Drosophila melanogaster: one gene and its partner. The protein of the gene in region 1 interacts with the protein of each later gene in a pairwise test. Each region holds a gene or a part of one and is shown on either strand. Other genes may lie near its edges.

What was found. The genes of interacting proteins can lie anywhere in the genome.
Region 2: the proteins of CG31029 (region 1) and CG11300 interact in a two-hybrid assay, tested with the Drosophila melanogaster proteins (one large-scale study listed by BioGRID).

Annotation. Positions count from the first base shown.
Region 1 is NT_033777.3:30,128,779-30,137,390, reverse strand, and holds CG31029 (uncharacterized protein), read left to right. Parts: upstream 1-4,995; 5' UTR 4,996-5,177; coding exon 5,178-5,611; intron 5,612-5,673; coding exon 5,674-6,933; intron 6,934-6,986; coding exon 6,987-8,010; 3' UTR 8,011-8,112; downstream 8,113-8,612. Other genes in the region: AdoR (adenosine receptor), read left to right, coding at 106-317, 410-905, 972-2,116; Tpi (triose phosphate isomerase), read left to right, coding at 2,858-3,112, 3,297-3,881, 3,943-4,149; Ppi1 (protein phosphatase 1c interacting protein 1), read left to right, coding at 8,453-8,612.
Region 2 is NT_033778.4:23,749,202-23,755,220, reverse strand, and holds CG11300 (uncharacterized protein), read right to left. Parts: upstream 3,307-6,019; 5' UTR 3,273-3,306; coding exon 2,799-3,272; 3' UTR 2,726-2,798; downstream 1-2,725. Other genes in the region: CG5532 (uncharacterized protein), read right to left, coding at 1,994-2,256, 2,316-2,391; CG12491 (uncharacterized protein), read right to left, coding at 4,063-4,536; CG34105 (uncharacterized protein), read left to right, coding at 5,369-5,842.

The DNA.
Region 1 (8,612 bases):
ACGGCAGGGATTCCTGCAATCTGCTCAAATGACGTCTGGGGGAGCTCCACTTCAAGGGCTTCAGTTCAGGGCACTCTGATTACCAATGTTCCTCTTCCGTTGCAGTCATCATCTCCATGTGCTGGGTGGCCGGGACGATAGTGGGCTTCCTGCCGCTTTTCGGCTGGCACGCCGATGTCAATCACAACCAGGAGTGTCTCTTCGTGGAGGTGATGGACTACAACTACCTCGTCTTCCTCTATTTTGCCACCATTATCACTCCGGCTCTGCTGATGCTGGCCTTCTACACGCACATCTACCGGGTCATCATCAAACAGGTGAGTGGTAGATAGATTTTCGCCAGTAAAGTTTTTTATATATTCCATAGAGTTTGGAATATTAACTATCCGTTTTCAATTGAACTTTAAAGGTCCGTCAGATTGTTACGATGAACCCCGCCTCCGATCTCAGTCGTCGCTCCTCGGCGGCCGTGGTGCAGGTGACGACACCCGGAAGAGGTGGACACACGGGAACCATGCTGCGGGTCTTGGGCGCCGCAAGGAAGCGGGACGTCAAGGCCACCCAGAATCTGTCCATTATCGTGCTGTTCTTTATGATCTGCTGGATACCGCTCTATACGATCAACTGCATCAAGGCCTTCTGTCCCGACTGCTATGTGCATCCCAAGCTGACGCTCTTCTGCATCATTCTGTCCCATCTGAACTCGGCGGTAAATCCGGTCCTGTATGCCTATCACCTCAAGGACTTCAGGGCCGCGCTGAAGAACTTACTCCTGAAGATGATGGGCGTGGACATTGATCAGCAGGCGGAGGCAATCCACCGCTTCTCGGTGGCCAGTCAGCATCGCCTGCAGTCCATGGACTCCAATATGCGCTCCACGCAGCCGCGCCTCTATGTGGGTGAGTGTGAGTGCGCGTTGTCTCCTTGGAACTGTGGCAAAATCCCTATAACTCTCGTAACATTCCCTGCAGATTCACCCATTTGGTTGAGGCAGCAGCAGGAGGCCCTGAAGAACTCCCAGCTCCTGCCCAAGTGCGGAGTGGTGTCGCCCTGTTTCAACAACATCAACCAAACGGTGGCCGCCGTGGCTTCGGTGACCACAGATCTCGAGCGAGAAATGTGGAACATAGTGGAGGCCTCCAGTGGCGCCGAGCTGGGTGAAACCAGCTACGAGTTCCCTTCCCCCGCTCCGGGTTCCCAGCGCAGCAGTGAACGAAATAGCAGTTCCACAGTCCCACCAGCTCCTCCTGCTCCTGCGAAGCCCTCAGTTCCGTCCGCCTCCTATGACAACCACAACTACAGTTTCAGCCAGGATGAGGACGAAGATGATGATGATCTGGAGTTTGAGGACGTATTCGTGCCGGCCAGCTCTGTTCCAAATCCCGTTCAGCCTGGCATAGATCCCGTGGAACTGCGTCGCTCCCTGGCTTTGGTCATGAGGGAGAAATTGCGATCGGATGACACGGACTCCAGGCCAATGGGCAACAATCAGGATCTTCCCATAGATGAACAGTCCAGGGAGAGACCGCTCTCCACTCAAACATCTCCCACAAATGGCCCACTTCCGGCTCTTCTGAGGGCCAAACTGCTTGCTGGCAACTCCAATAGCGCTCACTGCCTGCCAGGATCCACGGCGAGTCCTGCTCCCCAGGAGCAATCCGGTATCTTTGTGATCGATAGTGAGGCGAGTCCCGGCTCAAATGGGCACAAGCCTAAGTATCGAAAGGGCACGGCATTCACTCGGAGTTCGCTGAAGAAGAGCCGATCCTGCAACTGTAGCTCCATCGCTAAGGGACGAGGGGTCCACGACGAGCCCAGCAGTAATCTCTGCAGGGATCAGGAGTCCTCTGTACTTCCACAGCATCCGCAGCCAGCCAACCATCCCACAGAGAACTTTTTTAGTCCGCTGAGATCGGTGGGCAGTTTCATGCAGCATTCCAACTTGTTTCACTTCCTCCAGCCTCACGCCGCCCGTCCCACCTCATCGACGGCGTCGTCCACGGCCTCCACGCCCACTCCATCACCACCGCCCATGGGCCAGGCTCAGGAGGAATCGGTTCCAGTGGGTCTGACCACCTCCTCGCCGTCCCTTCTGGCGACCAGCGCGGAGAGTTGACCTTCGCGGTCGGAAAAGAAGCGGGATCAGCAGGAAAGTCCACTGGAAGAGGATCACAAGGATGCGAAAGGGGTAAGGGGTGACCCCTGAGGAAATACTCGCAAGTCAAAGCTTTTACGTTAAGTACTTTCCAGCTCTCTTAGGCTCTCTTTCGGAAACGTTGTCAAATTCTATATCGGATCTAAATCAATTAGTTCGGTAGTGAAATATAGAGATTAGGAGCTATGCGCATTTATTTTGAGTGTATGGTCATAATACGTTTCTACGGACTAGTTAATTATGTACATACATATGTTTAATGTTGTTAGAGTATTTACTGTGTATATGTCAGCTTATGTATACCTGAACGTCTGTGAAAACCAAGTTAAGCCATGCGACATGAATTTCAAAGTTGAAGTTAAATAAAGCGATTAAACCAGAATGTACATTCATGTTGTGTTTTATTTTTGTTGGTTAAATAAGTCCTGATGCGATGTATGCCTATTGGTAGGGTATACAAGTTTTTCTTTTACATATGCTAGTATAGCGGATTTTGGCAAGCCTGTTGATAAAAGCTTTTCCAGAGCTTTTTGGAAGCGACGCCAAAACTATTGGAGCTCACTTGCTCAAAGTTCCCCATCAGATGGTTGGAGTCACTGCTAAATCTAAAACCGGCAACATTTTTAAAACCCCAACAAGCCGTTTATATAATTTCAGAATAACTTTTACTACTCCTTACTTACTATTGTAACCACAATAGAAATGCCGCCTGGAGTACTCAATGATCTGAACAGGAACGGTATCCAGTGCATTGCATCAGTAACGCTTCTCCAGCGATTCCCGTATCATCGGAACCACCACACCATCCCCACCATGGACCAGAACCGACCCACTGTGGGTGGTGTTACGGCGGAGGTACTAAAAGCCGTCGTTTCGGAAGCTCTGCTGGGCAAATTCACAGCTGTTTTCCCAAAGCTTTTCAAGTGCCAGTGGAAGACTTACGAAGGTCAAAAGAAGGTTAGTACATAAGCAGACGAACTTCGAGGTGGGTGTGTGCTCTGTGCCGGGATTAATCTCGAATCTGGGAAAAATCTGAGTGGAAAAGTCGACGGCGAGCCTCCAGTCATCGAGTTACCCACTTGAAATTATCAGTTCCAAACACTCTAATAGCAGTCCCCTTGTTTTGTCCCCCGATCCGCAGTTCTACGCCAATTTCAGCACCGATTGCACCGACAGCAACAGCAACAACATGAGCCGAAAGTTCTGCGTGGGAGGCAACTGGAAGATGAACGGCGACCAGAAGTCCATCGCCGAGATCGCCAAGACCCTGAGCTCGGCCGCCCTCGACCCCAACACGGAGGTGGTCATCGGCTGCCCGGCCATCTACCTGATGTACGCCCGCAACCTGCTGCCCTGCGAGCTGGGTCTGGCCGGCCAGAATGCCTACAAGGTGGCCAAGGGCGCATTCACCGGCGAGATCTCCCCTGCGATGCTGAAGGACATCGGCGCCGACTGGGTGATCCTGGGACACTCGGAGCGTCGCGCCATCTTCGGCGAATCGGACGCCCTGATCGCCGAGAAGGCCGAGCACGCCCTGGCCGAGGGCCTCAAGGTCATCGCCTGCATTGGTGAGACCCTGGAGGAGCGCGAGGCCGGCAAGACCAACGAGGTGGTGGCCCGCCAAATGTGCGCCTACGCCCAGAAGATCAAGGACTGGAAGAACGTGGTGGTGGCCTACGAGCCCGTCTGGGCCATTGGCACCGGCCAGACCGCCACACCCGATCAGGTAAGGTCGCCCGCAGAGGCTAATCTCTTCCAGAACTGATATTTTCCCTTCCCAATTGCAGGCTCAAGAGGTCCACGCCTTCCTGCGCCAGTGGCTGAGCGACAACATCTCCAAGGAGGTGTCCGCCAGCCTGCGCATCCAGTACGGTGGATCCGTGACCGCCGCCAACGCCAAGGAGCTGGCCAAGAAGCCCGACATAGATGGCTTCCTGGTCGGAGGCGCCTCCCTGAAGCCCGAGTTCGTGGACATCATCAACGCCCGGCAGTAAGCAACGCGATCTCAAGCATCAGATCGCTTTCGGCCAGCGAACTGCCCGCGAAGGAGGCACTGGAGGGCAGGACTCCATACTCCTGCGCGCGAATGCATTACGCACACACCTAGTTGTTGTCACCACCAAGTGCAGTTCCAAATTCATAGTTACCTTGCGAGAATGCTACTCACATCCTTGTTGTTGAACGTATAGTAGTCCATTGTGTAAATCTTAAATTATTCAGGCAATAATTATGCGCTACTCATTTACTTATATACCAAACCAAACAGGTGTCTTATTTTTTGCAAGACTATTTCAGCTATTTTTAGAGCGATTGGTTGAACGACAAGGTGTCCAAAGTTGTGTGCACATATGTACATATATGTGTCACCTCTGCGGACCTTAAACCGAACAAGTTATTACTTAATTTCTGATAAGCATGCGAAATGGCAAATATTTGGAATATGAGTTCCAACTGAGTAATCGAGGCAATCATTGTATTCACTTACCTAACAAGTGAATCAAATCATTTGCATCATGTTTTTGACAATATCTTGCATAAAAGCCTTCAAGAAGAAGCAATGCATCATAAGATAGCTTAACTTGAGATAAGAAAGGAAAACAGTTTGTACTTATTATACTTTATACTTATACTCAGAGTTCATTTCTAATCGAAGTGTTCGAAGATTGTGCACAAAGTTTGGCAAATATGGAGCTAAACAAGGCAATTTCTTTGTAGCTGATAAGTTATTTAGCTTAGTAAGTAATTTATGGTTAGTAAATCAACAAAATATTATTCAGTTTTTCTCAAAACATGAACAGGCTGAGAATTCTTGAACCCAAGTGGCCTTAGATACATTATCGATTTGACAAGCTCTAGTTCTCCGTTTTTGAGCTTTTTATTGTCATTTCTGATCCTGAACACATCGATTTTATTCAGACTGGAGTTTTATATCAGAACAAATTAAATAAGTTTTTAGCCAAATCTTTAGAGAGTAAAGAAAATTTTAACTTGGTTTTAGCGATAGTTTCCCTAGAAGATCAACATGACGCAGTACTATGTCTTTGACGTTATCCTTGTGAACTCCAGTTTGCCGATTCCCCGCAAGTCCGCCAGTTTCAGTGCGGGTGGGAGGCCCGTCTACTCGGTTCGATTGTTCGAGGACTTTGAGGAGCTGTCCATGGAACGCATATTCGTGGATCAGTTTCCCACAGAGGCATTGGGTGGCTTTACCAGCAGTCCCTGTGAGCTAATAGGAGCATTGACATCCAAGGGCGTAGGCGTCACTCTCAAAGAGAACGACGAGCTCATAGGATCGGGCAACGCCACGCTGGAATCTTCAATCCTGCGCCAGCTGACAGACCCCAGCTTTTCGGTTACCCAGAGTGTTACAGTTCAACTGACCAAAGGGCCTAAGAACGACCGAGTGGGTGAGGTGGAGCTACTCCTAAAGATCAGCTCCGCTTCACCGGATATAAAGTAAGTGGTGTTAACCAGATAGGGGAAATGTAGTATTCCTATTAAATCACAATCCTCTCTAGCCACGGCTTGATTCCCTTTGGCTGCTATGACGTGTGCAAGCCTGTGGATCATTCGATCAACAAAAAGGATATTATCTTCACCCTGGGACGCTCCGGAAAGTGTGCAACGAACAGCTGCATCACGGATGAGCGCCTGATGTCGCACGCGGGAGCACCCTTCCAATGTCCACACGCCGCAAGTCAGAATCAGGAGGATCAGGATAACAAAGGCGGTGCCTTTGCCAGATGTGGGTGTTTCCTGAAAGGAATGCAATTACCTCCGGATGTTGGCACGGAGAAAAAGAGAGAAAAGGCCGCTCTGAAGAAGCTCGTCGATGAACTGGGTCTAGACGAGATAAAAGTACCCAGTCCTCCAGACACACACGAAAAGTCCCGTCGTTGGCATTGCAAGTGCAAGCAGCCGAGTTCCAGCACAGATACTTCCTCCTGTGACACCAATGAGTTCACAGCGGAAAAGCCTCCTAGAAAGAGAAAGGCCATATCCTTGACTGCCTCCATGGAGCGGGCTGCTCGTCGAAGACTCATGGGCACCTGTCCTGTAAAAGAGCCTGTTTTAACACAGGAGGCCTACAAGCCACCGAATCTCTGCCAGCTCTGCCGTTCGGACATCAGTTGGCTGCCCAAGATCTCCGCCTGTCCCTACTGTGGCTACAAAACCTTCGAGGACATACAGCCCAGCGAGCAGCCCTACGATCTTACGGCAACTGCCCAGCAATTGCTAAGGGACTGCCTGCGCAAGGAGACCTGTGAACTGGACCCGTCCAAAGGTGATGATGAAGCCATGGGCGACAAGAACAAGGATGATCCCAATGTTCCGCAGCAATGTGGCTGCTTGGGCGGGAAACCCTGCACTCGATGCCGCATCCGGAAGCTCTGCGACAACTTTTTTAAGGAAAATGAGTGCAAGATTGAGCCACTCCCACAGGCTTATCCGCAAGCTCCAAGCAAATCACAACCGGAAAGCAAGAAGGTGAACCAAGCCAACTCGGACGAATCACTTCGTCGTACCCAACTGATCTCCATCTTCACGGAGATGCGGAATATGTTCGGCAAGAAGAAGGGAGCCAACGAGGCGGACGTGGTGGCCGAGGAGCTGAGGAAGGAGTGCGATGCAGCCTGCCGTAACACCAAGTCGGCCAAGGCCCGCAGGAAGGCCAGGAAGGCGCTGCAGAAGACACTGGACGAGATTGACAAGGCCTATCCCAAGCCAGCCAAAATGCGGATAAAGAAGGAGCGCACCCACCACAAAAAGTCCCGATGGTGAGATATGAAACCTACATTGCGTTCAGATAGATTAGACTCTCATCTTGCAGCTACACCTTCTTGAAGCTGAAGACGGTATCCAAAGACTCCCGTATCGGGCATCTGGACTGCATTTCGGGCAGCAAGCATACGGGCTACAGCAGGATTCCCTGTCACATGGGTTGGATGTGGACCAAAAGCGAGATGGCGCGCCACAAGTCGTGGCGCCCAGGAGCCATTTCTCGACCCATCCGACAACTAATGTCCTACTTTCTAAAGGACTTTCCTGCGGATAATATTTGCCTTTCGCGTTACCACTACCGACACAAAAAGTGCCGCAGGGTCGAGGAGCTGGAGGAGCCACTAGTGCAGCATCCAACGCTGCACATAAGTCGGAAGGGAGATGAGTACATCATCACCTTGCGTCCATTAAAGGATCCCAAGGCCCTGGCCTCCAGTGCCAACCCTTATGCGGATATGAAGCCCGTTGTCTTTCGTATTACCAAGGATCCCATGGCAGCAGGACTCCGCCAGATGAGAGTGAATCTTCAGGACAAGGGATTTGCCCCCTGCACTTGTCGCCGGCCGGTGGCCAGTTGCTTTTGCCGGAGTCACATTGAGAAGAAGCGAATTCAGTACGAGGTGGAGAACGAGTGTCGCCAGCGTGGTTGGCCAAACAACTCGGATACCTTCGTGTACTCCCCAAACAGCGACGATGATGACAGCGATCGGGAGTACGAGTTTGGGGTTACTCCTCCGGCGGGAGTCATAAAGCCCGAACGGGTGCGACAGCCGGACAGAGCGCACGTGGAGACCCAGTACGTGGATCACGACTGGGCCGCTCCCACCATGTACCCGCATCCGGCCAACATGCTCGTCCAATACGGCGGATGCGTGATGGGCGAGCGAAAGAAGATGTTCCCATGGATCTACGGAAAGGGCGACGTTCACGCGGATCCACCGAAGCCGCGCCTGCGAAATCCGCCCAAGAAGAAGCCACGCAAGCAGCTTCCCTTCCGCAATGTCGGTGGCTACGATGATCCCCGGAGGTTCGATCCAACCCCACTAAACAGACCTTGGCACAAGTCTAACTGACATGGTGGCGGAGTCCAAATGCATTGATGTTAGCAATCACAAGTATACATAGCCTTTACATTTTAAATAAATGACGGTTTCGGCATTCCAAGAATTCCACATAAATGAATTGGTTTTATCCCTTTTGGCATGAATTGAATAACATAGTCATAGTCATAGATTTATTAAAACAATGTGTTGGTATGTCATTCTATGCCAATGTGGTTCTATGTAACCCAGGATGCCGTGAGTTCTACTTCACCTGGTCATTACAGTCCGATTCTTGAACACAGCTCATTCTCTATTGATAGTTCAGGTCGATCGCTTCAGGCTCAAGTTATCTATAAATTGCTTACTTTTATGTGAATTCTCGTGACGTAGCCCGTGCGCTTTTTTAAAATTATTTGTGCAAGAAAAATTTTAGACTCGTGGACGACCCTATATCGATTGCTAACCGGCCAGGATGGAGAAGTACGAGTGCAAGCCAGAGCCGGTGGAGAAGAAGGAGAAGCCGGTGGAAGAGCTAATGAACTGGGATGCCTACTACAAGAACCGCGGATTGGTCAGCACCCGATTGGGCAGCTGCAAAGCGGACTACATGCACTGCTCCACGTACCAGGAGA
Region 2 (6,019 bases), on another chromosome or scaffold:
CGATCATATCTAATCCCGTAGCACGGAGTCGCCTTGGAGCGTTCCGAAAAGTAGTTCTTGAATCTTATCTTATTTTGGCATGACCCTAAGCGTAACTTAGACTCTCATTTCAGACCACCCGATTCGAAACGAAATCATTGTCTCCGAAAGGCGGGCACAGCTCGGTTAGGACATTCGCATTCACACATCCTACGCAGATCTCATAAAGCATGCTTGCAGAAATCTCTCATACCACCTATCTATCAATATCTGGCGACTTCGAGTTCGACGATCGCTGATTCTTGCCTTATTTGCGCGGTTTAGTTCTCGGCCTATTTTTTTTTTTTCCAAAATTGCATCGAACACTCGCCCCACACATTAAAAAACTATAAAATCGAACTAGAAACCAAATTGGCATTGAAACATGCACACACATACCAGCATACAAACACACACGCTCCTTCTCTCACACCACCACACACGCATACACACTGTTTGAAGGCAAAACCGATCGAAACTACATCAGAACATCTTTAACTGTAGCAATTAAGTATTCTATTTGATCAACAAGAGTGGCATGGAATCAAGAACGCATTCTGCATACTAAAACTAAGACAGCAAAATGGCAAGAGTGAAACAGAGTAATTTGGCAAGTGGAAACGCATGGAATGGAACACACGCACATACCACACAACCACAACCACCCACACAATTCAAAATGGCCGGCGTCTGCAAAAAATATATATTTATCTAATGCATACGAAATAAAACTTCCCAAATTAGCTCATTGTTTTTGCACGCCCCACGAGAATTGTATGCTACCACAATCACTAATTTCCTGCGTTTTTCTCTCTTTCTTCCTCGCTTCCGTTTCGTTACCGCATTCCGCATCCGGCATCCGCAGTGGTTAACTGGAAGCTGTTTCCGTTCTAGTGAAAGTGTGAAAATGCAGCCGCATTGGGGGAACGTTTGGAACTGGCACGCAGACGTCACTGCCATCGAAATTGGAAGAAGTGTTTGCAGCTTAAAGTGTTTTTAGCTAGAATTTATTACTATTATACTCTGTACGAAACCCTATTGATTTGTTGTTAGTTCTAGCCGCAGCTAATTCTAATTTAAATGATTGCCTGTTTGCTGAGGGCAACGCAGCAGCCAGCAATGTTGTTATGTTCAGTACACGCATATATTATGTAATCTAATTTAATGCAAAATGCAAACAATTTTGTAAAATAGTACATATAATTCTGTAAAAACTTCATCTACACATGCACGCACTTTCGGCAGACAACCTAAATTATTTCTTGAGCCACAAATCAATCGAAAGGAAATTTAATAATAATCCCACTTTCCAATGTGATAAACATATATAATTTGTACACTCTACTTAACAAATATTTATCGTTTCCTGTTGGGAAAATGCTAGAAAGGTGGAGAATCGATAATATACTTACCTTGCCGCACTTTGCCTGCAGAAAACTCAAATTATTCACTTCATTATTGTAATAAACTTGTTAGAAGCCTAAATTCTAAAAAAAAAAAAAAATCCATCACTCTACGTTTACCTAGCCTAATGCTCTTTTCATGCAGCAACAAAATGTAATAGCTAAGTTTTAGTTGTAGTTAACTGAACATCGTATAATAGATGAAACTGTAAATTTATCACACACACAAAAGAAACAAAAGCTAAGTTAAACAATAAATATACAAAAAAAGATTTGAATGTACGAAATGGTGTATTTCTGTGCTTCTATGCGAACTGTCATACCAAAGTGCCTGAAAGTATGCTATTAAATGTGACCAAGTATTACAATTGAGTACAAAGAAGTCCACAAGTTAAAAGCATAGGTGATAAAATATATTTGCAGCAAGTACAGTTCCTAATCACTATCTTAGAAAGTGACACAGCGCATTACCAAAGTTCCAATCACCGAAAAGTAGAAAACCTATTCAATACGAATGAAGAATGAAGGTAGGGCAATCTCCTGGCAAGTCCAGCATGTGGCCGGAAATTAGCCTAAGGGGCCTTTGTGCCGGCGGGCATTAGGTAGCGATTATAGGTGGCCAGGTTCTTGACCAAGGCGGCCACGGATAGCATGCACACCATTCCGGCGGGCATCAGTTTTCCGGATCGGTTCCAGCGGGCGCCCATCAGCCCGGCCAGGAACAGGGAGGTGCCCAACTGGAGCAGGGGACGAGGCGTGTCCTGGGAGTTGAGGTGGGCGCCATAGCCGAGCAGGGCTCCGAAGGCCAGACCAGCACCCAGCGAGGGAATGGAACCTGGAATGCAGGGCGTTGCACAATCGGACATGACCACGGTCAGGGGGCTGGTCACTTACCCGCCTTGGCGTATCCCATGATTCCTCCGGCGGCGACCGTGGCTGCGTACACATATCCGAACCAATCCACCGGCATTTCGATTTATTTTGATTAAATTTCGGGGTAACCTTTGTTTTGGTGAGAAGTGGAGGTGTTAGTATGACCCTTCCTGCCTTAGTAGAAAGAAGATCCGCTCCGCAGTGCACGAAATTCAGACATCTGGCAGCACCGTTTCGCGGTCATTTTGAATTAAATATGTGCAACGAACTTCCTAATCAGAATATTTATTTCAATGTTTAGAACGCTTCTATTCGAAATATTCATTGCAATGTTTAGAAAGTTTGTTGGGCAAATATAAGTTAGTTTACTAATGTATGCATTACAAAAAGAGCGATGGTTCCTCTAATTTAAAAAGCCATTCAATACATTTATGTTTTTTTTAGATTTATTGCATTTCTGTCTGGAATTTTATTTCAAATTCGTAGCCAACATGTTCGTGAATTTTACAATAGACGACGGTGACGGTGTACACGGCGAACCACTCGCCCCTGACCACCACCTCCATTCTGATTACTCTGGTTGGCCTGACGCCTCTCGCGGCGGAGCTGACGCCTCAGCCGGCGCAGCCGACGCCTGAGCCTAATCACTTCCTGGCTGCTGCTGGATCCACTGTCACTGGGCGATGTGGGCGTAGCTGGTGATGTCGAGGAAGCGGGCGCATCAGGAGTAGCTGGCGAGGACGGTGTTCCAGTCGCTGGAGTTGGCGAGGTCGGTGTACCAGCAGCTGGGGATGCTGAAGGTGGTGTTCCAGTCGCTGGGGATGGTGAGGGCGGTGTTCCAGTCGCTGGAGGTGGCGAGGTTGGGGTTCCAGCCGGTGGAGATGACGCGGGTGGGGATCCTGCCGCAGGTGGAGAATCGGCGTAGGCAGTTGCTATTAGGGCCAAAAGCCCAAAGGCGATAACGAATTGGCAACGCATCTTCAGCTCAGTTTGTCACTAAATGGAGTACTGTGTGGATAGTGGTTTAAATCCGAGTATTTATAGGGATGATCCACTTGATTCGCTTTAATTGTCGAATCTGTGTTTGCTTTGAATGTTTTAGAGTACATTTTACGTTCTCGTCAAGACAAATAGATTAAACTCAATAAAAAGACGAGACTATCTTCTCTGTAAGCGCGAAAGCTGTTGATGGCTGTGGAAAGTTCTAATTCGTTAGTAATTAAACAAAACGGTTTTTTTTTGGATTGGCTGGCTGAACGTATTGTTAGCATGTGTGCAAACACGGTACATTGTTTATTAAATAGATGAATATGTATTGTTAAGCCTTTTGAACAGAAAGCCATATTTAAATAACCTCTAAGCTTAAATAAAGATTAAGATGGCATATTGTACATAAAGAATGAATTCTCACTAAAAGAAAACTTAGAACAAACTCCTATTTTTCACTTTCATTTGCAAGTTCCTAATCGATTAAGTTATCATCTGGAATTATGTCTGCACTTAGACCAGTTCCACTTGATCAACTAACTAGATCGGAAAATGATTTACTTAGGATTCTTCATTAGAGTATATAGTGTAGCCTTCTTCTTCTTTTCCAAGATGAAACCGAATATTGAATTTCTTTGTTTGACTAACAATTCGATCCAAATGATTTCACTTGTTTTTAAGGTGCCAAGTTACCAAGTCATAACTACGATTGTTGCTTTTGTGTATGCATTTATTTTTCAATTTGGACCATTTCATTGTTCGATCGGGTTAAGCCGATGGTTTATCCCCTACGTTGGCGCCTTCTTCCAGCACGACTCTGCTGGCGCCTTTCCTGCTGCCTCTCCCGGCGAATCTCCTGGCGCCTCTCCTGACGCCTCAGCCGCCGGAGCCTGCGAAGCCTGCGCCTCAGCCTGTCCACCTCCTCGCTGTCGGAGCTCGTGGAGGAGGAGGACGTGTCGCTGGACGTGGAGGGGGCCGTGGTTGTGGCAGTCGTCGATGAGGTGGAGGAAGTGGGCGAAGTGGAAGAAGAGCTGCTAGGAGTGGAGGACGAAGTAGACGTAGTGCTATTGCTGGACGGAGTTGAGGTGGAGGACGAAGAGCTGGGTGTCGAACTTGAGCTGGAAGTCGATGGAGTCGATGAATTGGAAGTGGGTGATGTGGAAGAGGACGAGTCGCTCGAGGATGAGTCGGTGCCACCATAAACGGTCGCCACGAGGACAACCAAACCAAAGGCCAGGACGAATTCGGGTCTCATCTTAAGCTCTGTCTGTTGAACACTGTACTCAAGTACTATACAGCATCCAGATCTGTGTCTGCTATTTATACGATCTATCTGGAGGGGTTTGGTCCAAAATCTCAATCTGTGCGTCGTCTTAGTTTGATCTTAACATGTGGCATTTGCGGCAGTGTTTTGTTGAACAAGGTGTGGAAAGTTCCTATGTTTGTCGAATCTACAACAGCAATGGAGCTTCTATTTGCGCAGTGTTATTTTTAGTGGATGTGCCAATACGGCTCAAGAAGAAAGTGCTTAACTTAGAGGATGTTTAATATAAGAACATTTAATATTAAGCAAATATTAAGTGCTCTATCACATTTATTGATGATTAAATCTTTCTTTGAATAATAATATGCTGCTTAAAAGAGAACACGAAGTGACTCTGCTTGCATTGTAGTATTCATTTTAGGAAAGCCAACTTGAAGGATTCTGGGTAGAATGGCCACTTTACCCTTCCTTATCTTACGAACTGATTGTTCCTATTGTATTTAGTTATTTTATTCAGAATAGTCCAATTACCTATTTTTGCTTAGTCACTTCTTAGTCAAAAACTATATTTGTCTAGTGCCTGTGCCGTAGATTGTTTCAGAAAATCAACAACTGCTTCAATGTTTAACTTCCCAACAATAACCTTTCCAGCTTTCCAGACGTTTTCAGCAAAACACTGGGCCACGTGCCAGATGCTAAGATGTAAACCACCCACGGATTGAGATTTTGGACCAAACCCCTCCAGATAGATCGTATAAATAGCAGACACAGATCTGGATGCTGTATAGTACTTGAGTACAGTGTTCAACAGACAGAGCTTAAGATGAGACCCGAATTCGTCCTGGCCTTTGGTTTGGTTGTCCTCGTGGCGACCGTTTATGGTGGCACCGACTCATCCTCGAGCGACTCGTCCTCTTCCACATCACCCACTTCCAATTCATCGACTCCATCGACTTCCAGCTCAAGTTCGACACCCAGCTCTTCGTCCTCCACCTCAACTCCGTCCAGCAATAGCACTACGTCTACTTCGTCCTCCACTCCTAGCAGCTCTTCTTCCACTTCGCCCACTTCCTCCACCTCATCGACGACTGCCACAACCACGGCCCCCTCCACGTCCAGCGACACGTCCTCCTCCTCCACGAGCTCCGACAGCGAGGAGGTGGACAGGCTGAGGCGCAGGCTTCGCAGGCTCCGGCGGCTGAGGCGTCAGGAGAGGCGCCAGGAGATTCGCCGGGAGAGGCAGCAGGAAAGGCGCCAGCAGAGTCGTGCTGGAAGAAGGCGCCAACGTAGGGGATAAACCATCGGCTTAACCCGATCGAACAATGAAATGGTCCAAATTGAAAAATAAATGCATACACAAAAGCAACAATCGTAGTTATGACTTGGTAACTTGGCACCTTAAAAACAAGTGAAATCATTTGGATCGAATTGTTAGTCAAACAAAGAAATTCAATATTCGGTTTCATCTTGGAAA